Linked DNA regions of Mus musculus: all the other regions are reported to be linked to region 1. Evidence: microRNA targets listed by miRTarBase, many of them from high-throughput screens and not tested one by one. Region 1 holds a microRNA gene; each other region holds the end of a gene's coding sequence.

Evidence for each region. Region 1 holds the annotated microRNA mmu-miR-148a-3p (UCAGUGCACUACAGAACUUUGU, at 4,452-4,473, opposite strand). A microRNA usually pairs through its seed, bases 2 to 8, with sites in the 3' UTR of a target mRNA and lowers its output. Matches are read on the target gene's strand: a 7mer-m8 pairs with bases 2 to 8, a 7mer-A1 pairs with bases 2 to 7 and ends in A, and an 8mer does both.
Region 2: miRTarBase lists Adam19 as a target of mmu-miR-148a-3p. Seed matches in the 3' UTR shown: 7mer-m8 at 4,862-4,868.
Region 3: miRTarBase lists Gpr157 as a target of mmu-miR-148a-3p. Seed matches in the 3' UTR shown: 7mer-m8 at 4,543-4,549 and 7mer-A1 at 3,491-3,497.
Region 4: miRTarBase lists Wnt1 as a target of mmu-miR-148a-3p. Seed matches in the 3' UTR shown: 7mer-m8 at 5,999-6,005.

What each region holds. Positions count from the first base shown.
Region 1 is chr6:51,265,378-51,272,493 of GRCm38, forward strand. It overlaps Mir148a (microRNA 148a), which reads right to left and starts at 4,533; the gene lies at 4,435-4,533. It overlaps Gm38821, which reads right to left. Exons shown (of 4, transcript XM_011241556.1): 2 at 5,830-6,033; 3 at 4,903-5,575.
Region 2 is chr11:46,142,470-46,149,585 of GRCm38, reverse strand. Adam19 (a disintegrin and metallopeptidase domain 19 (meltrin beta)) reads right to left here. Exons shown (of 23, transcript NM_009616.4): 22 at 6,515-6,667; 23 at 2,239-5,794. The coding sequence ends at 5,741. Nipal4 (NIPA-like domain containing 4) reads left to right here. Exons shown (of 6, transcript NM_172524.3): 6 at 1-1,431. Among named protein-coding and RNA genes, the nearest start is that of Gm35624, 20 kb to the left of the region's middle.
Region 3 is chr4:150,101,609-150,108,724 of GRCm38, reverse strand. Gpr157 (G protein-coupled receptor 157) reads right to left here. Exons shown (of 4, transcript NM_177366.3): 3 at 6,948-7,116; 4 at 2,798-6,513. The coding sequence ends at 6,316. Among named protein-coding and RNA genes, the nearest start is that of Slc2a5, 14 kb to the left of the region's middle.
Region 4 is chr15:98,792,055-98,799,147 of GRCm38, reverse strand. It overlaps Wnt1 (wingless-type MMTV integration site family, member 1), which reads right to left. Exons shown (of 4, transcript NM_021279.4): 4 at 5,318-6,732. The coding sequence ends at 6,244. Among named protein-coding and RNA genes, the nearest start is that of Wnt1, 5.7 kb to the right of the region's middle.

The sequences.
Region 1 (7,116 bases):
CTATATTTTTTTTCCCAAACAGTTTTAACCAGGACACTTGTTGAAGAAATTGCTATTTTTTTCTCAGCATTCAATTCTGCCCAGTGGTAATGTGGGCAGTACATCCAAAATAGTACAACACTTTCCAAAGTAGTGCTATGGCCACCCTGGAAAACAACCTCCCACACGAAAGAAAAAAAACTAACATTTGCATTGAGCAGATGCCTGGCTCTCAGCACTGTTAAGGTTGAATTCAGACTTCCAGGTTTTATAGCACCGTAGTTAGGCATAGAAACAATACAACTACATGCAGTAGCTCTCAACCTTCCTAACACTGGGACCCTTTAATACAGTTCCTCATGTCGAGGTGAACCCCAGCCATAAAAGTACTTTTGTTGCTACTTCATAACTGTAATTTTGCTTCTGTTATAAACCATAATGTAAACATGTGACATATGCCCCCTGTGAAAAAGTCATTTGACACACACTCCCCACCCCCAGGTTGAGAACTACTGCACTACAAACCATGTGTTGGTTTTAATGTCAACTTGCCACATACTGGAGCCTCGCGTGAGGAACTGTCCTGGTTGCACTACACTATACAGCATGGCTACTCAGAGCAGACAATGATTCTGAATGCTGGCTCCGATGGCTGATCTCGGTTGTCAGGTTTGGCACACTTGGGAAGAAGGAACCTGCACTGAGGAACTGTCTCCATCGGGCTGGCCTGAAGGCATGTCTGTAGGAGGCATTTTCTTGATTGTTGATTGGCGGGAGAGGGCCAGTGGCTGAGCAAACCAGGAAGAGTAAGCCCCATGGCTTCTGCTTCTGTTCCTGCCTTGGCTTCCTTTGATGGTGGAGTGTAGTTTATAATCAAAACAAACAAACAAACAAACAAACAAACCAACCAACCCTTTTCAGTTCCCATGCTGCTTTTGGCCAGTGTTTTATCACAGCAACAGAAATACAAACGAAATTCTTAAAGTTTTACTTTCCCATATGTAAGGCAACCAGGACAATTCCTCACGTGAGGCTCCAATATGTGGCAAGTTGACATTAAAACCAACACATGGCTTGTATCTGACGTCAGCCAGACTAGCCGCAAGCCTGCGTTAACTTATGTAATCTGTTTATGCCTCAATTTCCTTGTCTGTCACATGAATGATCAACTACAAGGACTTAACATGTGAATGCTTCTAATGGTACTCCCCACAAATTAAATACTGTACAGTTATGCTAGGCTCAGATTAAGTGCTGAGCAGCTACACTGGTTGATTTTCCTATGAAGGAGCAACAAGAGACTCGCTAAGTAGCAAAGCAAAGAAGCCATCCTGGCGTTGGCTTTTTCCTCCGGGGAAGCCTTTGCTAATTTTCCTAGCATCAAGTTAATGAATGTGTGGATCATAATCGCGAGAAACCTCCCCATCTTCCCTCCATCAGTCTCCAAGGCTGCCATATGGGATTTTAGTCCTTCTCACCTACAGCAGTGTGACCAATGTTCTGCCATTGCCCCCTTTTGCATTAAGACTTCAGTCTGTGTCTGAAGTGCTTATCCCAAGGAAACCCCTGTCCATGCCACATGTACTGTCCACTCAGAACACTTTAAGTCACAGAATAAGGGCTAAGCACATGCTTCCTGAACATCACATGCGGACTTAATGGTAACACACCCGTGGCTCCTGGAAATCCCAAGACAAGAGTATCCACTATGCTCCCGACGACTGAGTTTCTGAGAGGCTGGAGAGATGGTTCAGTGGCTAAAAGCACATGCTGCTTGTGGTGGTTTGAATACACTTGGCTCAGGGAGTGGCATCATTTGAAGGTGTGGCCTCATTGGGGTAGGTGTGGCCTTGTTGGAAGAAGTGTGTCACTGTGGGTAGGGGCTTTAAGATCCTAGTTCTAGCTGCCTGGAAGCCAGTCTTCTCTTAGCAGCCTTCAGATGAAGATGTAGAACTCTCAGCTCCTGCACCATGCCAGCCTGGACACTGCCATGCTCCTGCCTTGATGATAATGGACTGAACCTCTGAACTTGTAAGCTGGTCCCAATTAAATGTTGTCCCTTGGTTGTGGTGTCTCTTCACAACAATGAAATCCTAACTAAGACACTGCTCTTTTCAGTTCCTGTCACCCATGTTGGGAAATTTACAACTGCTTGTAATTTCAGGTCCAGGGGGAACCCATGCTTCTGGCCTCCTAGGGCATTAATAATCATGTGCATATACCCACAGACAGGTAATTAAAGTAAGTTTAAAAGTCCTTAAGGAATATCTGAGTACACAGGGAGCTTCTAGAACTTTTTTTTTTAATTCAAGGTTACCCAAAATCCTGGAGTTTATCAACAAAAAACCCTGAGGTCCAGTGGCACAATGCTCTAATTCCTCACTCTGTGGGTATCTTCCAGAACCATGCCCACAGTTGCCAACCTTTGCATTTGCGAATAAAAACGCTTGTTCAGTACTGACAGGCAACTGGTGTCCATGACATACAATTCAGCTGCATCTTCAGTTATTTTACTGGAAATGAAGAAGGCCCTGGGCCATGCAAATTGGGGTGCTGGTGACAGTACCCTCTGGTTCAGCAAGCTGGGTTAAAATAACACATAGCCTTCCCCAAAGGCTGTTCCCTCTTCCCAGTCATGCTTAACACCCTTCCTGATGATGGTGGCATTGCCAACCGCTAACATGAGAATGGACTCCAGAATGAACCGGATGTCAGCCGATTTTGCTCACAGCTGTACCCTGGCATCTAACACCTGATGCTCAGTTGGTAACAAGGCTCTGGTTGCTCAATATCTAAAGTCAGTGGGAGTATGCCAGCTTCAGAGCACACCCAGCCTGCTGGTTTTCCTCGACCCTACTCCCAGCATGCACACCACTAGGATAAGCCACAAAGCCTTCCTTCCTGGCTGGCCCTTTAACCCGCTCATGGCCAAAGCAAGAGTTTTCACCAAATCATTTTTATAATGAGGTCAAACCAGGTGAACCCAAGTGAGGGATTCCAAACCTGGCTCTTTCTTGAAGGTAGAGTCCTGACCTAATCCTTTGCATGGATGGCTACTCTCCCAGATACTTCACCTTATCTGCTCAAAGGGCCACTGCATTCTCATACAAAGTTGGTTCTGCCTATTGTGAGAATTAGTAGTTTCATAGTATTTTGTGAACACATTCATTCACAAAAATCAGGAAAGAAACCCTCCTCACCAGGAAGCTTACCTTATATCTTAAATGAAAACAAAAAGAACCCGAATTTGGATCACTTTATTCAACTGCAAAAATAAGATTAAGCTACCTTTTGGGCAGAGAGTTGAAGCAATGAAGCTCAACAGTCACTGGTGGGAAGAAAGGAGACTGGGTGTAGCTAACAATCTCAGAAGAGCGCCTGGCTAGGGGTCCAGACAGGTGCCGCCAACTGGCAAGTCCTTCCTCCAATACTTTCCCATTGGCCCTTCCCCATTATCTCTACTCCAATAGGAATGTGCTCAGAAGTAAAGGCGGTGGATTTTCATTTTTTAGATCAAGACTTCCCAGAGTCACACTCCAGGAGACCTCGGGGCTTCTGAAGCATTCTACAAACGTTGCCAGGACTGAGCTGTCCCTAAGCAACAAAGAAGGCTTCATTCCTTTTTGCTCATCACTAGGTGTCACAGCTTGACATACATGTGTCAGGTTAGCGCCTTTGTTAATGACGGTTTTGTAATCCCTTGACTCTATTCGCTCTCCAGCCACACCCATAAACATCAAAATAGGGCAATGACCCGGGAGCAGGATACAGTTCAATGCCAGTCACTGCCCACTGTAGAGCGCACTATTAACTGCAACTGCCAGCCACAACCCACATTCCATTAGGGTCCAGGAGAGCAGTTTCTCTGTACAGTATCTCACAGCTCCAAAGTATAAACACTGACCTCATAAATGACTGTCAAAATGCCTTCTTAGAAAAGGTACTTCCTTTCCATTAACAACCCCCCCCCCAAAAAAAAAAAAAGAAAAGAAAAAAGGAAAATGAGATGGGCCTAAATCAAACTCAGAACTGAAACTAAATCCAAACCCAATCCTTGCAGGTTCATTTATCTAACAGGGCATTTGAGTAAAAGGCACATTACCTGTGGCTTTGGCACAAGTGCATTTCCTTCTCTTAGGGTACAGTTTGAACATACCAACACACTCATCAATAAACTTGTGGTCCTTCTCTCCTTGCTCAATAAGTGAAGCCAGACTATTTTAGTATTTTAAAAATAACCTTGAAAAATATGCAATCAGTCCACCAGGGTAAGAAGAAAAATGGGGGGGGGTAGTTACTTTATGTGATCTAACCCATTGACTTTAAAGGAGTTTTTCAGGTTCTTCACAAAGCCCTTGTGCCCCCTCTGGGCTGCCCTTCCCCCAAAGGAAAGGTGCAACGACGTGGCCAACAGGGCCACCAGCTTGGCGTCCAGGGCCCTTGCGGGGAGGCGGCGACCACAGCCTCTAGAGACAAAGTTCTGTAGTGCACTGACTTCTATCATACTCAGAGTCGGAGTGTCTCAGAACTTTGTCTCAAAAGACCAAACTGGCTGTCTTCCTCTGGAAGTTTCGTCCTGCAGGTGTGCTCCCTGCCATCCCGCCTCGCCCCCAGTGAAGGCAAAGAAGAATAACTCATTAGAAGCAATTTAGTCCAGGATGAGACCAATAGTGGTACGGATAGTTAATTATGGAAAATTACTGCCACAGTCAGCAGGAGTAAAAATCCAGTAGAAAGGGTGTCCTAAGAGACTCTGGTGGCAATGTCACAGCAAACGGACCAGTGGAATCACACAATGCCCCCTCCTTCCTACCTACTCTACACAAGAATCCATTGCCGGTCCAGCCCCCACCTCCTCCGGTCCTGTTACTAAACTTTGGCAAGAAGCTAATTCACTCAATCTAAGTTGCGGTAACTTTTTACCTTTCCATCTGGAAAGTTGGTGAGGGCGGGGAGGACCTCATGAGAACGAATTCCTGGAGCAGGGAGTCAAAGCCGGCGAACACAAGCCAGTTTCCCCGCAGATGGGACGTCCCGGGAAAGCCAGGCTTTTCGCGGCCTCCCCTTCCCCCAGCCATTCTCACCACACTACTCCGGTTATCCAGCTGCCCGCGCACAGTCTGGGAATCCGCGTCCACGCAGCCCTGGCCCCTCGGTGCCACCCACCCACTCTCCCGGTTTCCCTCTGCCTGCTGAGGCAGCGCCTCCGCAGCCGATCTGCATGCAGTCCACGACACAGGCCCGGCGCCCCTAGCCCATCCAGCCCGGACCACCGTGCGGGGTCCCGCACGCCTCCCCACACACTGCGCGCAAGCAGCTGTTGCGCGCGTGCAACAGGTCCGCAGAGCGCAGTCCCCATCCTGCCCGGTTGGTGCGCGTGGCCGACAGAACGCGGGGCCAGAGCTCCGAAGCTGCGGCCGGGGGTTGCATCGGCCTGTCTGGCCTGGCCGCCCTCCCAAAGGCCCCCCGCACGCCGCAGCCCGGCCCTCTGCGCCCCGGGCCGCTGAGCTAGGCTTCCAGTGGGCGCTCCGCTCCGCTCCCTTCCATCTTGACTTTTGCCGACGTGGAAATTTTGGGTTTGGAGACGACCTGCGCTCTTATTGGCTGCCGGCGGGCGGGGTCGGAGGTCACGGCTGCTCTTGCTATTCCGCGCCAAGGGGAGCCGCAAAACGGCTCGTGTCAAGTCAGCAGGTTCCCTCCGCCTCCTCAGGGTCACGTGCGCGCTGGGCGGGGCGGGGAACCGCCTCCTTATGCAAATAAACGACGAAGGGGCCCCAGGAGGAAGGGGGCGGAGCCGGCAGGCAGAGGGGCGGGGTGGGGGCGGAGCCTGAGCCGGGCGGGGTGCGGCACTCCAGGTGGTCACCTGGCTCCTAGTCCGGCTCCACCCGGCCTCTGGGTTCAGCCCTTTGTGGGCAGGCTGGGTAGACGTGGTCTCCATCCTGCCCGTGTGCAAGACGCTGAACACAGCTTTGCCCGCAGCCCCTTCCGCTAGGCCAGGCCAGAGCCCAGTTCGGGTCTGGGTCTCTGCTGGGTTGGGGAAGACGAGGCTGCCACCTAAGCAGAGTGAGAAATGGAAACCTTGAGGAGGACACTTTGGCTCCTCCCCCGGGGCTGAGTGTTACAAGAACTGAGAGAGGAATTCTCGGTAAGAGAATTCTAGAACAAAGCTAAATCAAGAATTCATCAAAGTTAAAAAGCCATCCTTTTGAATTAGCTGCCCATTGCCCACTGTAAGTAAGAAAAGGCCAACAGCTACCTGAAAGTATCAAAAATAGCAATTTCTTTTGTACCGCCTACAGGGACAAACCCAAAGGTCGGTCTGTCTGTCCTGACCCCTGCTGGACATTAGGCACGGGGGTGGAGGGCGTGGGGGGGGGGTGGAGCGTGGAACCTGGAGTCAAGGTCTCCTGCATCCGAAGGAGGTATAACTCAAGGTGCTCAGAATTGTCCATATCCACGATCTGTCAGTGGTTCCCCAAGCACGCATGGAGGAGGGCATGAAGGAAGGCGTGCTTTGTAGAAGAAAGGGATTGATGAGAGGCCACATGACTAGATGGCTTCCTTCCCTCCACCCTCCCCAAAGAGAAGACAGCAATGTCAATGTACAGGTAGAGCCCAGGTTATGGTGAAAACCACAGCCTCTGGCCACCGAGCTGCATCTTTTAAAACACAGATATTTCTCAGAACAGGCCTGGTTTTTCTTTGTGATAAAACGTCTGTATCATTTCTTTTTTCCATCTTAAGTGTGGCTGGATGATACGGAAAATGAAAGGTACATTTTCATGGGAAGATTCTTACCTGGAAACTTCTTCCCCTCCTGTCTTCTTAATTTACTCGTCCCTTCTCCCCCATCCCCCTATGGAAAGATAAATCCTTGCTCCTTCCAACTGTTTATCCTTAGGGATCTTTCCACTTGCACACTTGCGTGTTTATCTGACCCTTCCGGGTGTGGGGGTGGGGGGCTCCACCAGGCATTGTCTCCTAGAGCCTCCCACCCCCCTGCTCTGCCAAGGTCTGTCAGCGGTGCTCTCTGGGCCTCAGAGTTGGTCCGGGCTCTGCCGCAGGTTCTGTTGTGTGAGCTGGAATATTGATTTTTCTTTTTTTTTCAGTGTGTGTGCGCGCCGCTCTGTTAAAAAA
Region 2 (7,116 bases), not on the chromosome of region 1:
GAAGTTTCAACTGGCCCATTCTCCAAGCACTTGAGGTCACATCTTGTTGTCTGTGCCTCCAGTGGCAGGCACTACTATCCTTCCCTCTCTGCCCATCCCAAGATACCAGTCACTGACACGTGTAGGCTGTAGCCTTAGAACCAACAGCAGGGGATGCCTCCTAGTCCAGCTCCGCTGTTCAAACCCATGTTCACCTAGCAGCCTCTGGGAAGAGAACAGCACTGTGCTGTCATGCTGGAATTTAGCAGAATGCAATTTCTTTGCATCAAGAAATTGACTATGATATGACTTGGGGAAGAGGGGGAGAGTATAAGACACAATGTCATGGTTGTCTGAATGGAGTCATGGGCTCTATGGAAACCTGGACATAATGTTTGGCCTGACTCAGATTCGAGCAAGGACCAGACCTCTGGGGAAATTTCCTAGCTGTATCTAGTGGAATTGGATTAGAATCCCAATAATCAAATGGGAGTGCAGGCTTGACACAGCCTTGTTGGCCCAACTGGAACTGAGTTTATCTCCATTGACAACCTAGCTGCCCACACTGGAAACAGCATGCCATGAGTCCTCCACCATCACCTGCTCTTAGGGTCACTTTTGGTGACCTTACATTTGGCCAGAAGCAGTCAGAGAATAGCAGCTGGAGAGAGAGAGAGAGAGAGAGAGAGAGAGAGAGAGAGAGAGAGAGAGAGAGAGAGAGCCTTTTCTTCCAGTTCTTACAGCTGTGAAAGTGTAGACTTGACACAAGGAGCATAAGAGAGTGAAGTTAGGAGCCAGTTTGTGGGGAAGGGGAAACTTGATCTTCAGTGTACGTAGCACTGTCAAAATACGATCCTGTGTTCGAATCTGATCCCCTAAGTACAACCACACCCAGGTCAAACTGTTTCTGGCCTTGGACAAGCTCTTAGGGCAGATCAACACTCTGGGCCCTATACCTTCCCAATCCCCAGTATTTTCATGAATGTGGATTTCTGACTGTGACTGAAATCAATGCAACACACTGGATCTTGGGGGGGGGGTTAGTAAACTGAAGGTTCTGAGAACGTGGGCTCTGGGGTCAGTAATAAAGACTTCAGGGTGTGTTTACTTGACAAATGTCCTGACCTTCCATGTACACGGAGCAAATTCACTCCACTGGTTCCTCTCACATACTGGGATGCCAGTCCCTGATCTCCAAAGCAAAGCCCTCCTGTGTCTTCCAAGATCTGCCCTCACTCAAACAGGGAAGGTTGCTGTATTTCTTAGTACCATTCATGTAGAGGTGATGACCTTACTAGGAGCCAGGCATATGGCAAAAAGCATATGAAATACGAAGGATGATGCTTTCTTAGCATTTACATGAGGGTTCAATGAGATGACTATCTTAGGGTTTTATTGCTGTGAAGAGACACCATGACCATGGCAACTTTTATAAAGGAAAACATTTCATTGGAGCTGGCTTACAGTTCAGAGGTCTACTCTATTATCGTCATGGAGGGAAGCATGGCAGCACACAGGCAGGCCTGGTGCTAGAGAGGTATCTCAGGGTTCTACATCTGGACCCCCAAGCATCAGGAAGAGACACTGAGTCTGGCTTGAGCTTCTGAAACCTTAAAGCCCGCCCCCAGTGACACACTTGCTCTAACAAGGCCACATCCACTCCAACAAGGCCACACCTCCATTAATGCCTCTCCTTATGATTCTATGGGGGCCATTTTCATTCAGACCTACACAGTAAAACTCCTGTGGTTATTAATAATCTTAGAAAACCTCAAAACAGAGGCTGGGAGGAAATGGGTAAAAGTTGGTGAGAGACCAGCAGTCTCCACACAGACCTGGGAAATCTTAAGTGCACACAAGCTGGCCTCCCTGCACCTACCCACTCAGCCCGGGACCCACACTAAGTCTCTCCTCTTCATTAAAGCACACCCCCTAGTGAAGAGAGTTGGTCACAGAGTATCTCAGCTGTCTTCTAAAGTTAATAGTGTAGAAGAATGTTCTAGAATCTAAAAGATTATGAAAGCCTTTGGTAATCCAAGATTTAATGAAACCAGACTATCTTGAGCACAGGTACAAAGCAGGCAGCCCTGACTACTGGCCATGGGAAACCCCGGGGCATCACTGTGGCACAGGTCATGGCCGACTGGAAGGCTGTTGGTCTGTATGAGTCCTCTGAGACGTTCACATCACATGTCTTAAGTGGTCCTGGCAGTGGGATTACCGAAACAGTTCACACACAAAAGAGCCATCCAAACAGAGAACATTTCCTCATGACAATTTGTTTTAATTAAATACAAACAAGGAGAAAAAAATAACAACAACAACAAAAAACAAGGCACCATGGCCCATTCAAGTATTTTGCATAGATGTACAAATATTGTAAACAATCAATAGGAGGACATGAGAGGGGAGGACTACTTCCTGTGAACAATCTCCCAAATCAAAAGAAAATTCACATTTGCCCTGGATCCCAGACATAGACATATACAGTCATACAAGAGGATACTGGGTGCATGACTTTGGGGTGCTAGGCTCGGATTCTACAGAACCTCTCCCTAGCAGGCTTCCCTGGGACGGGGTACCTTTCCAGTTGGTGTTCCCTGGCTTGTGTGTGGAGGATTCCTTCGGGTCTGTTCATTACATGCATTTGACAAAATAACTAGCCTCCAATTTTAAGAATACAAGTCTCACCTCCACTTTGTCAAATAAGGAAGTGAATTGAGCCCAGGGGAGACACTGAAGGATTATTGCAGTGTTGCAGGGGGGCTATTGCAACAGAAGGAACTGTCGCGTTACAGAGAACACTCCGACACTAGCATCTACAGTGTCTTGGAGCAGGGGTAGAGAGGGGGTATTCTCTTCCTGGTGGAAGTCACCAAGGCTAGAAGGAACAGAAAGCAAGCAAGGAGTTGTAACTTGGACGGTATTAGCCCAGGCTATACCTCTTATAGAGATGGAGAGCTGAGGTTTACAGGTCAGGAATGGCTTTGCAGTTCTAAGGTTGGCAGGCAGCTAATCTAGCTCCAAAAAACATTTACAGCCTAGGCTGGAGGATGTAGCTCAGTTGTAGAGTGTTTGGCTATATACATATGAAGGGCTGTGTTTGAACCCAGGGCCACATAAAGCATGGTAGCACACACCCGCAGTCTGTACTCAGGAGTTCAAAGATCATCCTTGGTAAAGTGACTTAAAGGCCAATCTACGATACATGAGATCCTGTCTTCATTTTTGTTTTTCTAGAGGGTTTTTTTTTTCCTCTGTGTGGCCCTGGCAGTCTTGGAACTTCCTTTTTAGACCAGGCTAGCTTCAAACTCGAGATTCACCTGCCTATGCTGGGACTAAAGATGTATACCACTAAACGCAGCTACAAACCTTCCCTCAGCCCACCAGAGCCTTGGCTTTGACCTATTCTAACATCTTCTGACGTCTCTCTTCAGTGGCTGGGAACAGAGGTGCCTTAAACAGTTCTTGTTCTTGCTCACATTGTATGCATAAGAAAAGCGCTTTCATTCAGTCTTGGATGCCCTCACAGACTTGGTGTAGGAAGACCAAAGTGTTCTGTTGCAACTGCCCCTCCTCCTCATGTGGTAATATTCTTTCATCTCCTAAGTGACAATCCTGTGAGACAAACCCTGTCCTTGAAGTCTAGATACACCTGTATGGGACCCTTCACAAAGCAGATGGGAAGGGATTCCTGCCTGTGACAGCCTAGCTGGCCTCTGGAAACAAAGCCTTGAGTGAAGTTGTGTGTAGAGCAGCTGCCGACATTTCTACCAAGTTTAAAAAAACCCCGTCCTCTTACACTTCACAGTATAATGTCATGGGATGGAGGTGGTAGCAAAGTAATGAAAAAGAAAAAAACAGAAGTGATTACCAAAGAGCAAGGAAATGGGTCTTTTTCTGATATGGTTCAAGGGACAGAAAGTGGAGGGTTTCTAACTTTGTGGTGAGAATCGGGGTGGCCTGTAGTCACCGGCCACTTGGTAAAGCACACAAAAGAGAAACTGATATAGGACATGGACTGAGGCCTCAGAGAGTGTGAAGAGCACGGTCACCCTGAAAAGGAGAAAGGTGCTTTCCTGAGATCTTTCTACCCCAGGCCACGTCTGTCATAGCTCCCACATGTCTACAATCCCAAAGCTTACTCTGGGAAGAGATATAAGGAGGCCTCAGGTGGTAAAGGGGAAGTCAAACGCTTGCCTCTTCCTCTGGAGGGTTCCAAGAGCTAACAACTGCTTGCTGTTGGGGCGGGGAGGCCCCTAGAGAGCCCTCTGCAGTGCCATTAGCACCTTTCTGGGGGTGGAAGATGGCCTCTCAGAGGCCAGGCCCAGCAAATGTGTAAGAACTGTTCCAAATAGCGGAGCACCAAGCAAGAGAAGGTCCACCCCATCCCATTCCCACCTTCTCAGCATTTTCCATGACGATCACCTCGGGGCAGCAACCAGGAGAGACCCGATGAGGTGCGTGATAAAACTCTGGTTGAATAGAGTTTGGGGAACCCTGCCCAGATCTGGTTCACCATGGCTGTTGACATCGATCTGTTCAGAGTCACCAGTCCCCCCTCAGAGCTGACCACTAGGGCGGGGCTGGTGGCCCTGTGTATACAATACTATAGCCAGGATGCCAAACATGTCAGCCCCCCTCAGTACAACTGTGGCTGTCCTGGGGAACCTTACTTAGATATGAGTCAGAAATAAGGAGGAGGTCCCTTATTCTGCTTGAGGCCGTAAAACACAAGTACATGCAGAGCTGTCGGCCTGCCTGCATGTCTGTCTCTCTCATTGCCTCTGTCTCTTTCACACACACACACACACACACACACACACACACACACACACACACACACACATACACGCCCACTCGGCTCAACGCTCTTGAGATCCAGTGCAGAAAGTCCAGTGGCGACCCCATATGGCAGGATCCCGATTTGTAGGTCACCAGCATATGGTCATCAGCAAGTCAGGACTGCCATAGTTCACCACCAAAGCACCATAGGATAGGGATGCTGGAAAAGGAGAAGGTGACACATGGAACACTGGGGATGGATGAATGGATGGATGGATGGATGGATGGATGGATGGATGGGGATTCTAAATGTCCTTAGTGACCTTTGGCATAACGGCTCAGAGGGGACACAGGTTGACCACCCCACCCCCCTGCTGTCTATGCTACTTACAAATAGTACCTGTCTGAGTCAGAGTGACCCGTGTAAATATGGGAGTGGGAATGTGAAGAAAGGCAGGGGAGGGGAGCATGGCTTATCACATGCAGCCAGAGAGCCAGGAACAGGCACCTTGACCAAGCCCCTTGGGGTAGGGATGTAGCAGTAGCTTCCTCAGCAGCCTGGGATCCCAGAAGGAGGCCAATCAGTGACACTCGCGTGTGTTCCTGCCAGCATAGGACCAGGATGGGTACCTTCTCCAAGCTCCGCAGAGGAGGACCCCAGCTCAAGCCTTCCCTGAGCATCGCTGGTAGCTCTTGGCTAGTGGGCTGAGGGAGAACCTTTCCCACCCTCCTCGCCGTGCTTCCCTTCCCTCCCTGGGCTGTATATTGCACAGGACAAACACTTAGGAGCCATTGGATATGAGTCCCCCTGGGCCTCGGAGGAAGCAGGAGGCACTCGGGTAAGAAGGGAGATTCTGGGGATGAGGGACGTTCCAGAAGGCTGCCAAAGCTTCAGGATGGGTGAGAAGGCGTCTTTCTTCTGGACCTTCCATGGCATCCGGAGTCTTCCATCGGAACAAGAAACTTCTCGACACTTCTAGATCTTGGAGCTAATTATTGCTCCAACCCTCTGTGATCGGTACTCGGGTAGCTGGAAAGGAAAAAAAAAAAACAAAAACAAAAAACGATGTGACCTCAGTGCTGGTCAGTGGGACTGTGGGCAAGTGTCCTCTTGCTCAGAAGTCTGTCCCCGCGGCTGCATTCCAGGGCCATTGGCCCTTGTAGTGAGAGCAATTGTGTGGCCACCCCCAAAGCTGGAAACTTAGCCCCTCCCCTCTTCCATCAAGTTTCAGTACATCTAGTTCCCTAGTGCTTCAGGGGATACGGGCTGGCAACCAGCTTTCTTGCCTCACCCCTTCTGACCCAACTCCCCAGACTAAGCCGAGGACATGGCAGGCAGAGAGAAGCGTTAAGGAAAGGGACATATGTTGACAGGCTTGTATAAACTAATGGCCTTCAGAGCAATGTCATGGAGCTGGTCCCTGCTGCTTCTCTGGCCTTTTTAAAAATTACCTTGAACCACCTTGCCGGCCAATCTTAAGCCTTCTTATCAAGAGATAAGGATTTACTCAAGGTGGCCTATCTGTTCAGGTGCCATCAAAGCCACCAGAGCTTAGGCTTCTGTGTGACGCTTTCATTCTCAAGGAAATTCAAACCTCCCTTTGCTCATGTAAGGTACAGCCAAATAGACCTCCAAGCGAGGCTACGTGTTCATTTCTGCTTCTGTTCTAGAACCTAGCGTGGGGCACGGGACTGCCTTCTCAGCCACACACTTCCTCTCTGGTCCTTCTGGGTCCTTCTGTGGACTCACCTTTGGAACAGGCACTGCTGGAGGCCTGGGGGGCTGAGGACCAGAAGTAGGGGGCTGAAGCAGGGAGGTGCCTCCTGACCTGGGACCGGTCCTTTGGCCTGGCACCGGATTGGCTGGGAGTGCCTTCTGAGGTGGTCGAGGCCTGGAGAAGTCCTGGAGGAAGCAAGAAGTCTGACTTGAGGGTCTCCCTTCAAAAGAAAGTATGCCTAGTATCTTCTGGGTCACAGCCAAAATAACTTACGTACCGGATTGTTCCATTTCTAAAGGACTCTCCTATGCGGGGGTCTACTTTATAATGTAGTCACATGCTAAGAAAAAAATAAGACCTTTTTGGAAAACAAGTTGGCTGTCTATTAAAATTAGAGCTATGGGCATGGCATGATAAGGCACACTTTTAATTCCAGCCCTCAGGAGGTAGAAGCAGGTGGGTCTGTGAATTCAAAACCCTGTCCCAAAATTTAACCAAAAAAAAAAAAAAAAAAAAAAAGAAGAAGAAAATGTCTTTTCCTGGTGTGAAAAATCCCACTTCTGTTTGACCATGTTAGAGAGCTGCAGAAGGCTGGTTTGCAAGGATGTCCCTATGTACACATGATTTATAATAC
Region 3 (7,116 bases), not on the chromosome of region 1:
TTAGAAAATACAGGTATTGGGGCTGGAGAGATGGCTCAGTGGTTAAGAGTACTGACTGCTCTTCCAGAGGTTATGAGTTCAATTCCCAGCATCCACATGGTGGCCTACAACCATCCGAGGTGGGGTCTGACGCCCTCTTCTGGTGTGCCTGAAGACAGCTACAGTGTATTCATAAGCATAAATAAATCTTTTTAAAAAAGAAGAAAATATAGGTATTTACATTACGATTCATAACTGTGCCAAAATTAGTTATGAAGATGCAACAAAAAGAACTTTATGGCTGCAGGTCACGGCACCATGGGGAACTGCGCATAGAGTCTCAGCATGAGGAGGGCTGAGAACCTCTGAGATAGCAGGAAGTGTTTAGTGACCTGGGCCCTGTGACCATGAGCTCAAGGCGGGTACTCTCTGCGGGGTCACATCTCCTACCTTTGCCTGCTTCTCATTCTACCGGTTCCTCCTTCTTCATGTGTTCATGTGTGTGCATGTGTGTGCACGTGTGTGCAAGTGGTGCATGTGGAGGCAGAGGACAACATCAGGTGTCATTCCTCTGGTGCCATCTTTTGAGCATGGGTCTCTTACTGGACCCATGGGGCTTGCTGATCGGACTGGTCTCCGGTATCCGATAAGACCCAGGGGTCCTGTCTCTGCCTCCCTCCCTTGTGCTGCGGTTATAGGCACACACCATCATGCTACACTTTTCCAGTGAGTGCTGGCTCTTGAACTCTGGTCCTCATAGTTCATTACTCAGAAAACACTACCTACGGAGACAGCATGTGGGATGGCTGTTTCTGGTTGTCAACTTGACCACATCTGGAATGAACTACAATCCAGAAATGGAGGGCACACCTGTGATCCAGATCTTGAGGCTGGGAGACTGGGAGACACAGGCTTCTGACCCGGATCTTGACACAGGATGACATAGGCTTTTTTTTTTTTTTTTTTTTTTTTAATCTGGATCAGAGTAGCCATGGAAAGCTTAGGCCCAGGCAAGGTGGTGCATGCCTTTAATCCCAGGAGACAGAGACAAGCAGATCTCTGAGTTCAAGGCCAGCCTGGGACAGAGCAAGTTCCAAGTAAAGAACAGCTTAGGTGCAGGCGTGGTGGTACATGCCTGTAATCTGGGCCGTAGCTTCTGCTGGAAGCCCACATAGGATAATGGAAGAAGGAAGGCTTCTTCCATGCTGCTCTTGCTTACTTGCCAGCACATCTGTCGTCGAGAAGACCAGCTGAAACACCCAGCCTCCTGGGACTGAGCAACAACTAGATCCTTGGACTTCCCATTCACAGTTGCCCATTGTTGGGTTAGTTGGACTGCAGACTGTAAGTCATTCCAATAGCTTCCTTTAATATATAAAGACACAAGTTCTGTGGCTCTGAAGAACCCTGACTAATACAGCATGTCTGCGGGGAATTATTTTTCTTGCCCCGGAAGATGTAGGAAGACCCAGCCTGAGAGTGAGCGGTACCATTCTCTGGTTTGGGCCCTGGGTTGTCTAAGATTATTAAATGTGCATGCGTTCCTTACTCTGCTCTTCACTGTGGATGTGGTATCATCATCTGCTTTGAGGTTTTGCAACTGTTTCTTCAGACGATGGACTATATGTAGCCTGCATTGGTAAGTTAAAGCAAACCTTTTTCCTCAGCTGCTTTTTGTTGTGTTTTGAGACACCATGTAGCCCTGGCTTGCCTGAAACTCTCTCTGAAGACTTGAGCTCTCAGAGATCTGCCTGCCTCTACCACCCAAGCTCAGGGATTAGAGGTGTGAGCCACCAGGCTCAGCCTCTAAATTGCTTTTTGTCAGGACATTTTATTTCAGCTACAGAGATGAAACTAGGTTACAGGCGCATGCTGGGCTGGTCCCTGGAACGCACCGTCCCAGAAGGAAATGACTTAGAGCTCTGCTGGGGAATCTGTGGGCACAAGAAGTCATCCTGTCATGTGTCCACTGGGTAAGGGCAGGAAGAGGCCACCAAGCATGGGGGACATCGTGGAGCAGCCAGCTGCCTTTCCTGCAGGGAGAAGGTTAGAGATAGCTTGGGAGACAGTGGAAAGCACCAGGTCAGGGGAGCCGGGCATGCCACATCCAGAGACTGGATACGTGGACCCTACGTGGCTGTGCAGGCCTGAGATCCCAGCAGTGAGAAGCCGAAGTTCAGACTCATGGTCTAGATGGAGTTGGGGTGCTGCAGGAGAAGAAGACAGGAGCTGGCGTTCAGAGTGAGGCTGGCAGTCAGGTCAGGCAGGAGGGATGGATGGAAAGGAAAGGTATGGCTGTCAGTGTGAATGGAGTGTTGTGGAGGGCCAGAGAGGGTCCTGGAGAGTCAGGGAGGGCCGAGGGGGTGTCACAGAGGCTCATGCAAGATTGCAGCGTGTCACAGAGGTCAGGGAGGGTGGGAAACACTGCGTATGAGAACCAATTGCTAAAGGTAAAAGGCTCTGACAGGAGAGGGCTGTGACTTCAGGGCTACAGACTGAAACTGGCCTGGGACTTAAGGACAGAAGTTAGACAAGGTGGTGGTGGTGGTGGTGGTGGTGGTAGGGTTTGCTGCAGCCAATCATAGCAGGTACCTGCACCTTCTCTTTTGGCAAAGCCTAAGTATGTGGCCAGTGACTATAACCTTAAAAGAGGGTTCTCCAAGTCTCAGCCACTCCCAGGCCAGCCTGACTGGCCTCACTCACCCCTCCCACATCAGTGTGGAGCCAGCTCAGCAAACACGGGGAGAAAATGACCGATTCCTTTAATTTAAAACAGCAAGAGGTCGGGCTTTCACCGAGAGTTAACATCACACTTCCAAAAAATCTCATGCCAGGTTTAATTATACCACAACTGTGAGTTCACACAAACATTTGCAGAGAGGGCTGGAGAGCTAGCTCAACAGATAAGAGCGTTGCTGTTCCTGCAAAGGACCCAGGCTTAGTTCCCTTTGCCCAGAGTTCACAGCTATGACTCCAGATTCAGGGGATCAGAGTCCCTCTGGCCTCTAAGGGAACTGCGTACACACAAAATACCCGTACACATACAAACAAACACATATGGTCTCATTTGTACTTTGGACACATAATAGTTTTTATTTTTATTTTCAGAGAGAGAAGCAGAGAGAGAGACAGACAGACAGAGAGGCAGAGAGAGAAAGAGACACACATAGAGAGAGAAAGAGAGAGAGAGAGAGAGAGAGAGAGAGAGAGAGAGAGAGAGAGAGAGAGACAGAGAGACAGAGAGACAGAGAGAACAAACTAAAAAGCCGGCTCGGGGTGGCATAGGCCTGTAATCCCAGAAACAGTAAAACTGCTTAAGGCCTGCCTGGACAAGTAGTGAGAACCCTGATTCTTTTTTAAAAAAAAAATTAACGATTTATTTATTTATTATATATAAGTACACTGTATCTGTCCTCAGACACACCAGAAGAGGGCATCAGATCTCATTACAAATGGTTGTGAGCCACCATGTGGTTGCTGGAATTTGAACTCAGGACCTTCGGAAGAGCAGTCAGTGCTCTTAGCCGCTGAGCCATCTCTCCAGCCTGAGAACCCTGTTTCGAAACTTAAAAAACAAAACAAAAAAAAAAAATGAAGAGAGATAAATGCTAGAGCATAATATCTCACGCACACACACATTCTCTCCCTCTCTCTCTCCCTCTCTCCCTCTCTCCCTCTCTCTCTCTCTGCCTCAGAAAGTCAAAGGCAGGAAGCAGCTGGCAACGGATTTGCAGAACAAGATTCACAAAGTGTACCAGGCGGTGGTGACACACGTCTTTAATCCCAGCACTCAGGAGGCAGAGGCAGGCGGATTTCTGAGTTCGAGGCCAGCCTGGTCTACAGAGTGAGTTCCAGGACAGCCAGGGCTATACAGAGAAACCCTGTCTCGGAAAAAAAAAATTCATAAAGTGCTTAAGAAGGGTGTGGGGGCTGTAGCACCCATTAAGGCTGAGGTCACATTTGGGTGACAGAGGAACACGGACAGACAGATATTAATGACACTTCCTAGTAGAGATAGGAACCCACGAGGCTGAGCAAAGCAAAGGGGAGCTGGTCCTCACCGGTGCTAAGGCCCCTCCTGGCCCCAAGGATTCTTCTATTCCTCTTCAGCTCTGAACCCTGGCTGCCTAGAAGACCCACTTGGCCACCGGCTGAGCTAAGGTTGATGTCTGTGAGCACGTAGGGCTAGAGGTCAGGCACCGGGCCTCGGGTCACCACCAGCCACCTTCGGTGACAGGGCAGCATGGGAAACAGATGGAAAGAGCCAAGTGTAGACTTTGTAGGGGGTTTTACGGACAGCAATCCTGGCCAGTGGCATCAGAGAAAACTTGGGTAAGCCCCAGGCTCCAGGAGCAGGGCTTTCGGATGCCCCCTGCCTGCCTTTCCTTGAACAAAGCCCCAAACAGCCAGGGTTTCACACTGCTCTGTCCAGCTGGGTTTATCCAACATCATTTCCTCCGTAGTATTTGGTGGTTTATTTTCTCCCCTCCAGGAGACAAATTCCTAGAATTTCTGTTCCATTTTAGAAGCCAGGAGATCCATTACCGCTGCGCTACACGCTGACAGTGCACACATTGGCTGTAATATCTTCACAGGATCTCAGGACACCCTACACAGACTGGTTTTGTAAGCAGACAGAGTACCAAGCCAAGGAGCTTTCTTAGACTCCCAAAAGGGAACCCACCTCTTGTAGAGTTTCCTAAAGAAATGCTTTAGGAAGCCAGAAGAGGAGCATACAGACACAGCCCTCTGCGCGACTATTCCTTTCCTGATAGAGATGGGCGCTGATGCCCCGTGTGACTCTGCTTCCATCTTGAGCCAGGCTCTGAGCATCCTCTCGGTTTTGTGAGGGTATTGACAGAATCCAAGGGCGCTACCTCACCTTGACTGCAAGGTGGCGGGCACACTTCCCACACCGAGAGCCTGCACGTCGGCACACACTGCTTTCTGAAATGAGGGATGTGTGGGTGGAAGAGCCACTGAGCAGATCTCAGTTAAGCCCCGCTCTGGCCAGGCTTGCTAGCCAAAGGCGACAATTCTAGCTTCCTGGGAAGTTGAGGTAGGAAAATCTTAAGTTCAAGACCAGCCTGGTCGACTGAGAGTTGAAGGCCAGTCTAGGCAACTTAGTAAGATTATGTCTCAAAAAAAAGGGAGTGGGGAGGGGCATGGGATTGAACTCAGTGGCGGAGCACCTGCCTAACAGGCACAACACAACACAACATTTTTTTAAAAATGTAACTATCAGGAGGCAGAGGCAGGTGGATCTCTGTGAGTTGGAGGCCAGCCTGATCTACATAACAAGTTCCAGGCCAGCATGTCCACATGAGACCCTGTCTCAAAAAAACAAAATAAAATGTAATCATCTCAGAATCCTATTTCTATATCCCCCAGATAACTACAAAACACAAAGGCCTTTTAAGTATTTGGGGTGCTAGGACCAACCTGGAAACTACACGGAGCTACAGGCCAGCCCGAGGCTGACTCTTCAAACATTCACCTTCAGGGTGGAATCAGATCCATTCACTGGTCACCTTTCCTAAGCAAAGTGCAGAGCCAGACCCCCTCCCCCTGTATGAGTCACCGTGAGGAGAGGGCTCTGTGAGAACAGTAGGTGAACTGGTAATTGTCCATAGGGGCTGGAGCTGAGCTGCCTTCTGTCCTGGTACCTGGAGGGAACGAGGATGTTAAGTGATTGACTAATGGACAGGACTCTGGACTCTGGCCTGTGCTGAAATTCAGATGTAATAAACACTGAGGGGCGATGACCCACGCAGAGATTCCGTGAGATGCCCATGAGTGTGTGCCCGGGTGGTTTTCATCAATGATGGCAGTCTCCTGTGACTTCCGTGGACTTGGGACCTAGTTTAAGGATATTACCCTCAGCTGACCAGCACTGCTAATTACCCCCAGGGTCTCTAGGGATTCTCAACGCCCTGGCAAGCCCGGACTCCATACTGCGATGTCTGGGATCCAAGATGGTGTTCATTATTATTCAGTCAAGCCTGGGATGGGTCCACAGGTACGGATCCCTCCAACTGTAAACAACGTTGGTGGCCGGGGACACTGAGAACCAATGCCCTGGCGGTATCCCGCATAGCTGAGTCTCACGGTCTTTGTGCTTACACAAACAAACCCCACTGAACCAGGACATGAGTGTGCAAGGAACACACTGCCTGCCTGCAAGTCTGGGAGGTAGAAGAGTCCATACTGATGGCTGTCCCTCCACTGGGCTCCGATCTTCACTTTAGGCCAGGCTGACAGCATGCTTGGTCTCCTAATCCTGAAGCAGGAACCAGGAAGGCAGCGCCAGTACGGACAGGGAGGAAAGCCAACCGCTCAAGTGCTGGGCACTTCTGGGGTCCGTCTGGATTCCTGAGATTCTCCTATCTTGGGGGGCGTAGGAGCCCCCGGAGGGCTCTGGGTGGAGGGCCGAGGACAGCAGCAGCAAAGAGAAAAGAGCCTTGTGCGGACTGCCCGGGTACAGAGGACGAACATGATGCAGTTGGCCCCTCCCTGGAAGGTGTTTCCAATGCCCTGTAGGGGATGGGGAAGAGGCGTAAATACAAGGTTGCGGTGTCTTAGAAACGCAATCATGGGGAGTTGGTGGGCTCCTGTGAATCCCATGACTTTTCCTGTTCCTGCCTCTAAAATGTCGTGGGATGAGCTCAGACACGTGGCCTTAACCAGAGCTCTCAACAGGTCAAAACTGGCCACCCAGCCCACCTGCAGTTAGGCCTTCTGCGTTGAGAAGAACCCGGGATCAGACAGAGGACTGTGCTAGGGAGGGCTTCTCTAGGTTGCTGAGGACAAGTGGACACTCCAAGCCACGCCTGCTTTGGGACAGGAATGGGATGGTGAGCTACCCCGCTTCCCATCCTGGCTAACACATTGGGACCTGAGATGCGCCTGTAGGGAGGGGATCTGGCCGTGCCACCGTAGGGTAGCAGGGCCCACGGAAACAGACATACATGCAGAACAACCAGCACGGGTGTCTGTACAGCCGGGGAACCACAGAGCGTCAGGACAAAGCGCACGGTGCTCCAGACGCGGAGGCAGATGAATATGAGCGGAATGAGGACCAACTTCTTATCTGCCGTGGAAGTGGAGGAGCCTCGCTGCAGCTGGCGCCCCTCGCAG
Region 4 (7,093 bases), not on the chromosome of region 1:
ACACACACACACACACACACACACACACACACACACACACGTTCTCCAGGAATATTCCCTTGACCCAGAAGGCCATCTTCATATGACATCTACTCTAAATTGGGTTTTTCTCCAGCTTGCTGCATGGCACTAATTGATGGTCACATTGGTGTGATCCCTGGGGAATGCTCTGACTTTGGGTTGCTTCTTCCTAGGATGCTTCTGCATCCTGCCCTTCTGCTCCCTGTTGCGCCCTATCCTGTTCTTGTTAACTTTCTCCAACTTTGCCGCTCTGGCAACTCTGGTAGCTTCTGCTTCCAGAACCTCTCATCTAGCAGGGAATAGTATGTGCCCTCTAGCACTCCAGAGTCCTGTAGGCTACAGGGACATGTGAAAGGCCCCGTGAGACTTTAGTGCCATTTACCCAGGAATGAAGCATGCCAGGCTGGCTGTGGCCTGGGGTTTCTGCGGGTCAAGCCTGTGTGCCCTCTTCTCTCACCAACTTTAGGAGACCCAGGTTTCTCCTCAACACTGCTCCATAGTGGAGGAGGCTTTGGGAGACACTACGTGAACGTGGAACATTGTGGAACGTTGTCCACTTTCCCAACATGCTCCAGGGCCCATCTTGGCCCTTGGCGCGTTTTAGAGAGGAAGGGAGGGAGGGTTGGTGCTGAGAGTGGGAGCCAGGCCCATCGAGGTCCCAGGAGTGAATGCAGCATTGTTGGCCAGGCCAGAGTCACAGATAATTACCTCAATTAGTGACAATGGGAGAGTAATAAATACAGGCTTAGTGTCTCCTGCCCCACCAGGGCTCCGAAGATTAATCCAGGCTGACGGGCGGGCCCTGAAAGGCGTGATGGACAATTCATTAAACTCCCCAAATGCCGCACAACCTGGGCGTGAAGGCTGAGTTAGCCCCCTGGGGGCTGCGCCTTTGTCCTGATTGTGTGTCTCCGCCACAGCAGAGCCGAGCAGCCCCTAGAGAGCCGGGAGGTGAGTGGGGCTCCCTGAGCCCGGCCGGGTGGAGGGGGGATTAGGCCTCGGTCTGGCCCTGGTTGCCCTGGCACACTGGCCCGGCCTGACTGGAATGTCCGTCGGGGGGAGCGGACCGAGCGGAGGGGCGGGGCCGACAAGGTGGAGTAAGGGGGGCACACAAAACCAGGGGCAGGAGGAGTTAATTAGACGCCAGCCGAGGAGGGCGAGGGGCCACAATAGGGCTGAAGGGCCGCCAGGGACGGCCCCTTCACTTCCGAGGATTAATAGGGAGGATGGAGAAGGGAGGGGCTCAGCCCTGGAAGAGGAGGGCTGCCCCTTTTGCCTTAGATGGGCACCTACTTAGCAAGTGTCTGGGAGTCAGGATTCTCTAGTAGCCTGGTTCATACCCTCAGCATCCCACAGAATGGTTGTCCCTTCCTACGTGTTGGTACACAGCAGTCACTCACGCGGAAGATGGTTAGGAGGAGAGGAAGAGAAAGAACTTATCCACCAGGCAAAGCAAAGGGGGAAGCATATTCAGGGGTCTTATTCTCAGCCTCTCATATAACCTACTCTGCACAGTACTAGTGCTGGATAGCACCCTTCCCTTCCCTTCCCTTCCCTTCCCTTCCCTTCCCTTCCCTTCCCTTCCCTTCCCTTCCCTTCCCTTCCCTTCCCTTCCCTTCCCTTCCCTTCCCTTCCCTTCCCTTCTCTTCCCTTCCCTTCCCTTCCCCTGGGAGGTTGCCAGGTTGAAGGCACAGCGTGCAGAACAGAGGCTGGAGCTGGTACGATCACCCAGGAGTAGGGTGTGCATGCGCCGGGGCTGCAGGTGCGCATGCGCACCTCACTATGTCCACTCAGTGAGTGAATTAAAAAGTCTGCTATTTTCTTGAGGGTGTAAGGAAATGGCCCAGGGCTTTGAGCCCTTTCACGCTGGACATAAGGCCATATACCAGGGAGGGTGGGGTAGACAAAAGTCCAGGGCACACGTCAAAGGTGGCACATTCACCTGGGAAAGGTAAAGGAAAAAAAATCAATAAATATTTCAGCAGCTGGTTGGAGGCTCCACTTCTCTCTGGGCCTCACTGAATAGGGCAGCCCTGGCTCCTCCTTAGGTGTCACCCCACCCTACCCCCTCCCAGGGGATGACAGGGGAGCGAGTTGGCGGCAGTTCCTTGGGCATATTTATAACCTGCTGCTCTCTCACCAACCCAGTGTGTCTGCTTTTAGCCCAGACGGGGGAGGGGGTAAGGGGGTGGTCTGTCTCATGCCCGGCCCTGGCATGGTGTGGAAAGACTGAGTAAGGGTGAGTTGGTGGGCAGCTCTGCACGGATGTTCCTGCTCACACCACAGCCAGACAGCTTATTTTCTTCCCTGGAGCCAAGGACTGAGCCTGCCTGGGGCCGTAGGGAAGGGGGGGTTGGACCCTCTGGTATTTGCAGTTACCACTGACAGGGTTTTTCCGAGATGCCAGTGTCAGGGTGTTCGGTGCTGACCCCCCAGGGACCGTGCAGCCCCGCTGGCTGTCTTGGTCCTCTCAGCTTTTCCGCCACCCCTGGGATATTTCAGGACTCAGTCCCCGCAACAGCTCTGACTGAGGTCAGCTCTGTGACCAGGGTCCCTGTCCCCGGTGTGGTGTGTATTTGCATGGCATCTAAAGATCAGGAGTGGGTGGAAGCCTCAGGAAGGTGCGTCAGGCATATTTCTGATGACATTCATTATCTTATGGACAGCGCCTTGTGTTCTGAGCCCTGAGACTCTTTCTAGGTACGCACCTCCCCCCCCCCTTCCTTACTGATCTACTGATCCAGTTGAGAGGGCAGCGCAGATAACACAGGTAATAGGGACAAAAGAGTCCTCAGCTCCTAGGCAACACTTGTAGACCCCACAGCCCCTTCACACACACACACACACACACACACACACACACACACACACACACGGCTGGGGATCCAACCCATCTCGTCCTTACACGTGCTCTACCATCACGCCACACATTTCCAGCACTTTTATCTGAAGTGTTTCCTTTTATTTGTGCATGTTGTGTTGGGCCCTGGCTTTGTTCTGCATTTTCCCATGGCACACTTCTTCCAAGTTCCAGCCCCTGGAAGAGAAGGGTGCTGAAGCCTTTCCTGCACACCGAGGGTCTTTCCCTCTATGCCTGTTAGTGTTTGTTGGCCTGGTTGAGTCCTGGCTGGACCTCTGGCTTGTAGATTGCTGCACTGCCAGCATTTGACAGAGGCTAGTACAGAAAAGGTATCAGTAGCCGTCCACACAACCCAAGCTGTCACAGACACTATGTCATTTGAAGCCTATCCCCTCCTTAAGCGACAACAAAGATGGATATTTGAATATTCTCAATTAAGGGTCAAGCAAGGCAAATGGGACTGAGAAGACTGAAGACAAAAGATGTGTCAAATACCTGGGCAAAAGGGGGTGGTGGTGCTCTCTTTCCAACTCCTGAAAGACACCTCTGCTCAGCACACTAGTTTCCAGGTTCCTGGGTTAGGATTTGGGTGAGATTGGTCGGCGATGGTTTGGTTCCTCCATTCTGCTGCTTCTCCCTGATACATTGAGTTACAGCAGCCCACGCGTACACACTCTCGCACATGCGTGCACACACGTGCACATGCACACACACATACACACATACACACACACACAAGCGTGCATGTGCACATGCGTGCATGCACACATACACACAGGCACACACGTGCAACACAGCATGTGCAGGCATGCACACACAGACACACACACAGACACACACACATTTGTGCCCTGGGACAGCCCAATGGCTTCATACTTTGGGAGCGCTGAGGGGCTGATAGCTCAGCTTGGGTTAGGACTGAGTAGGCTCTTCTGGATGATCATCACTGGAGACCCAGAACCTTTTAGACATCCAGACATCCAGTATCCCAGGTTGGATCCACTCATCAGAACTGACCCAGTGCTAGCTTTGCCAGTGGAGAGAAAGGCAAGGAAATGGCTTGAGCAGGCCCTGAATCTACTTCTCTACCCACTCACAGAGTCAAAAAACCAACAGGGGTCAGAGTTCACCCCTCCCCCCCCACCTCTTCCCCCCCCCCTTCCCCAGAGGTGATAGCCTGCAGCAAAGGATCCTGGGAAGAAGAAGAAACTCTCTGAGCTGATTGAGACTGGTTATGGCTCTTGGGAAGGCGGGGGTCCTCTGTAGCTTCTGTCAATGCCTTTCGGGTCCTCTCTGGTGGGAAGGGGCTATGATGAAGGTCAGGTATTGGAAAGGGTTAGTGTTCCCTGAGTCAGGGCTAAGGCTCTGGTTGGACAAGGAAGGGAGGAAGAAATGACTGGCGTCAGGTTGAGTACTCTGAGAAGGATTCCTTTCCTGCTGACTGGTGACTGCAAGCACAGAGGTAGCCTGCAGGTCATAAGGAATCCTCATTCTGGCTCTTTGTGGGTGTGGTTAGCTTACTGCTTTGATTGTGGACCAATCACTCTTGGGGTTCCTTTTTTATTGAGCTCTAAGCCTTACCCCTGTCTAGAAGCTAAGCTTTCTGCTCTTTTCTTCTTCCCTATGAGCATCTTTAAGTTTTCTAGTTCAAGTTTAGGGCCCACTGTTAACCCATGGCTTTTCTTTAATATCATTTCTTTATTATTATTTATATGAGCACACCATAGCTGTCTTCAGACACACCAGAAGAGTGCACCAGATCCCATTAACAGATGGTTGTGAGTCACCATGTGGTTGCTGGGAATTGAACTCAGGACTTCTAGAAGAGCAGCCAGTGCTCTTAACCTCTGAGCCATCTTTCCAGCTCTAACCCATGGCTTGTTCCTGGATGTCCCTTACCTGTAGGTTAGGGTTGGGTTGCTAATAAAGAATTTCCAGGAAGAGTGTAAGAGGTGGGCCTTCCACTGCTCAAAGCTCAGACTGCAGAAAAGGTTGATAGCCTCCCAGGGGCAATGACACCCTTTCTGCTTGAGCTTCCCCCCCCCCCTCTCAGGATGTAGTCATGGCTATCCTTTCCTTTCATTGCTGCTACCTCCCCAGCTCTTGCACTAGGAGAGCTGGACTGTTGGTGTGCTGAGTCCCCATCAGGTGACACACTTGTCCTCATCACTTAACCAGCTGCTGCCAGAACAGGAGGAAGAGCCCTGCAGGAGCTTTTGAGCAGGCTTTTCTCTCAGGAGACCTGGATCCCTAGTTGGTCTCATTTAGGGTCATCCAAGGGTCAGGATCTCAGGGTCCTTGCTCAGGCCCTGGAAAAGAGATCTTCAACAACTCTATCTCTTTTGTTTGGCTATGAGAAGAGAAGCAAGTCCATTGGAAGGGAAGAGGACGTTGGAAGCCATGCTGTGTTCTGGATTCAAGGACCAGAGTCGTTGATAAAAATAGATATTTTATTCCTCAGAGGAAGATACTACATTGGTGGGGGCGAGGAGCCACTAATAGCTACAGTGGAAGGAAATACTGATCCGGTGGGCAAGGGCGCCTATGAGAAGCTGGGTAAAAGAGAAAAAAGGTCGGATAACAAAAGGACTGGCGAGCAGAACAGAGGAGCAGTGAGGTGGGGTGAGGGTGGTCTCTGCAACCCAGGCTGGAACCCAGCACAATAAATAGTTTTATTTACATAACCGAACGCGTGGCTCTGCGGCCACATTTCGGTGCAAATTATTTACACAGTGATGAGGAGGCAGGACAGGAAGGGGTGGGAGGAGGCTGAGGGAGGCATGGTTCACAGCTGTTCAATGGCTCCGAGGCAGAGACAAGGAGAATGTAGGGTTTTGCTGCTGGGTCCAGCAACCTCCTTTCCCACTTAGCTTTCCGTGCCCTTTCAACTCGGAAACTCTTCAGCTACAGGTGGGAGGGGAAAGGCCTTGAAGCCCAGAGGTGCTGGTTAGAGAACTCAAGGGACCTATAGGGACCCGAGAGACAAGGAAAGGTGATAATACCCAAAGAGGTCACAGCGCAAAATACATCAGGAACCGCAACACCTTCAAGAGTTGACCTCCCCACCCCCACCCCAGAAGAAGAATCTTTCTCTCACCCTCTGGCCAAATTGGGGGGCAGTGCAAAAGGAGTCTCCCTCAAAGAGGGAGGGAGGTAGGCTGGGTCAGGGCCCTCAGGATGGCAAAAGGGTTCGAGCCGACTCAGGCAAGTGGTTTCAGGAGTCCCCAGGTAGGAGGTGGGAGAGATGGATCGCTATGAACCCTGGGACTGTGGCTGGACGCGGTAGGGTGGGCAAACATCAGGACCAGCGAGTGTGTCTGAGAACTGGAAGAGAGCGTTCCCGTTCCCGGAGGCGCGGCACCTCATAGACACTCGTGCAGAACGCGCGTGTGCGTGCAGTTGCGGCAGCTGACGTGGCAGCACCAGTGGAAGGTGCAGTTGCAGCGCTCCGTGACGCGCTGCGTGCGCGTGCGGTGGCCTCGGCCACAGCACAGCAGCTCACAGCCGTCCAGCGCGGGAGACGAGCTGTTGCAAGCTCGTCCAGCTGTGCCAGCTGTGCCCAGGCGGCCACTGTACGTGCAGAAGTTGGGCGATTTCTCGAAGTAGACGAGGTCGTGAGGGGAGGGAGGCTTGTGCGCGGGGTCTTCGGGCTCCAGGCGCAGCAGCTCCGCCCGCGAGGCGCGGTTGCTGCCTCGGTTGCCGTAAAGGACGCGGGAGGCGCCGTCGAAGCGGTCGCGCAGCACGTCGCCCACAGCGCGCAGCGTGGGCAGCCGCATCCAACACGTGCGCACCGTGCAGGAGCCGGACATCCCGTGGCATTTGCACTCTTGGCGCATCTCAGAGAACACGGTCTGGGGGAGGAGGGGACGAGGGGAGGAGGGAAGAAAAGGTCAAAGCCAACATCCCACGAACCACCACCCATACTTCCCCACCCCCACCCCACCCGGGTCACGTCGATGCTGTGGAAACTTCAGCCAAGGTCCAGGTGTGACTAAGCTCGGGAGAGAGGAAGTGCAAAATGGCCCGCTGAGATAGGGACATTCGGCCAGACTCTGCTCCACGCCAGCAAGTCACTTTTATCTTTCAAAAGTGTGCCATGGAGCCATCTCAATACATCCCACGTGTTGATAGCCTGCTAATCTCTTCTGTTCTGTCATCAGCTCAGGAACCTCTTTGCCCTCAACCACCACCTCTTCTCTGTCTTCCCTCCTA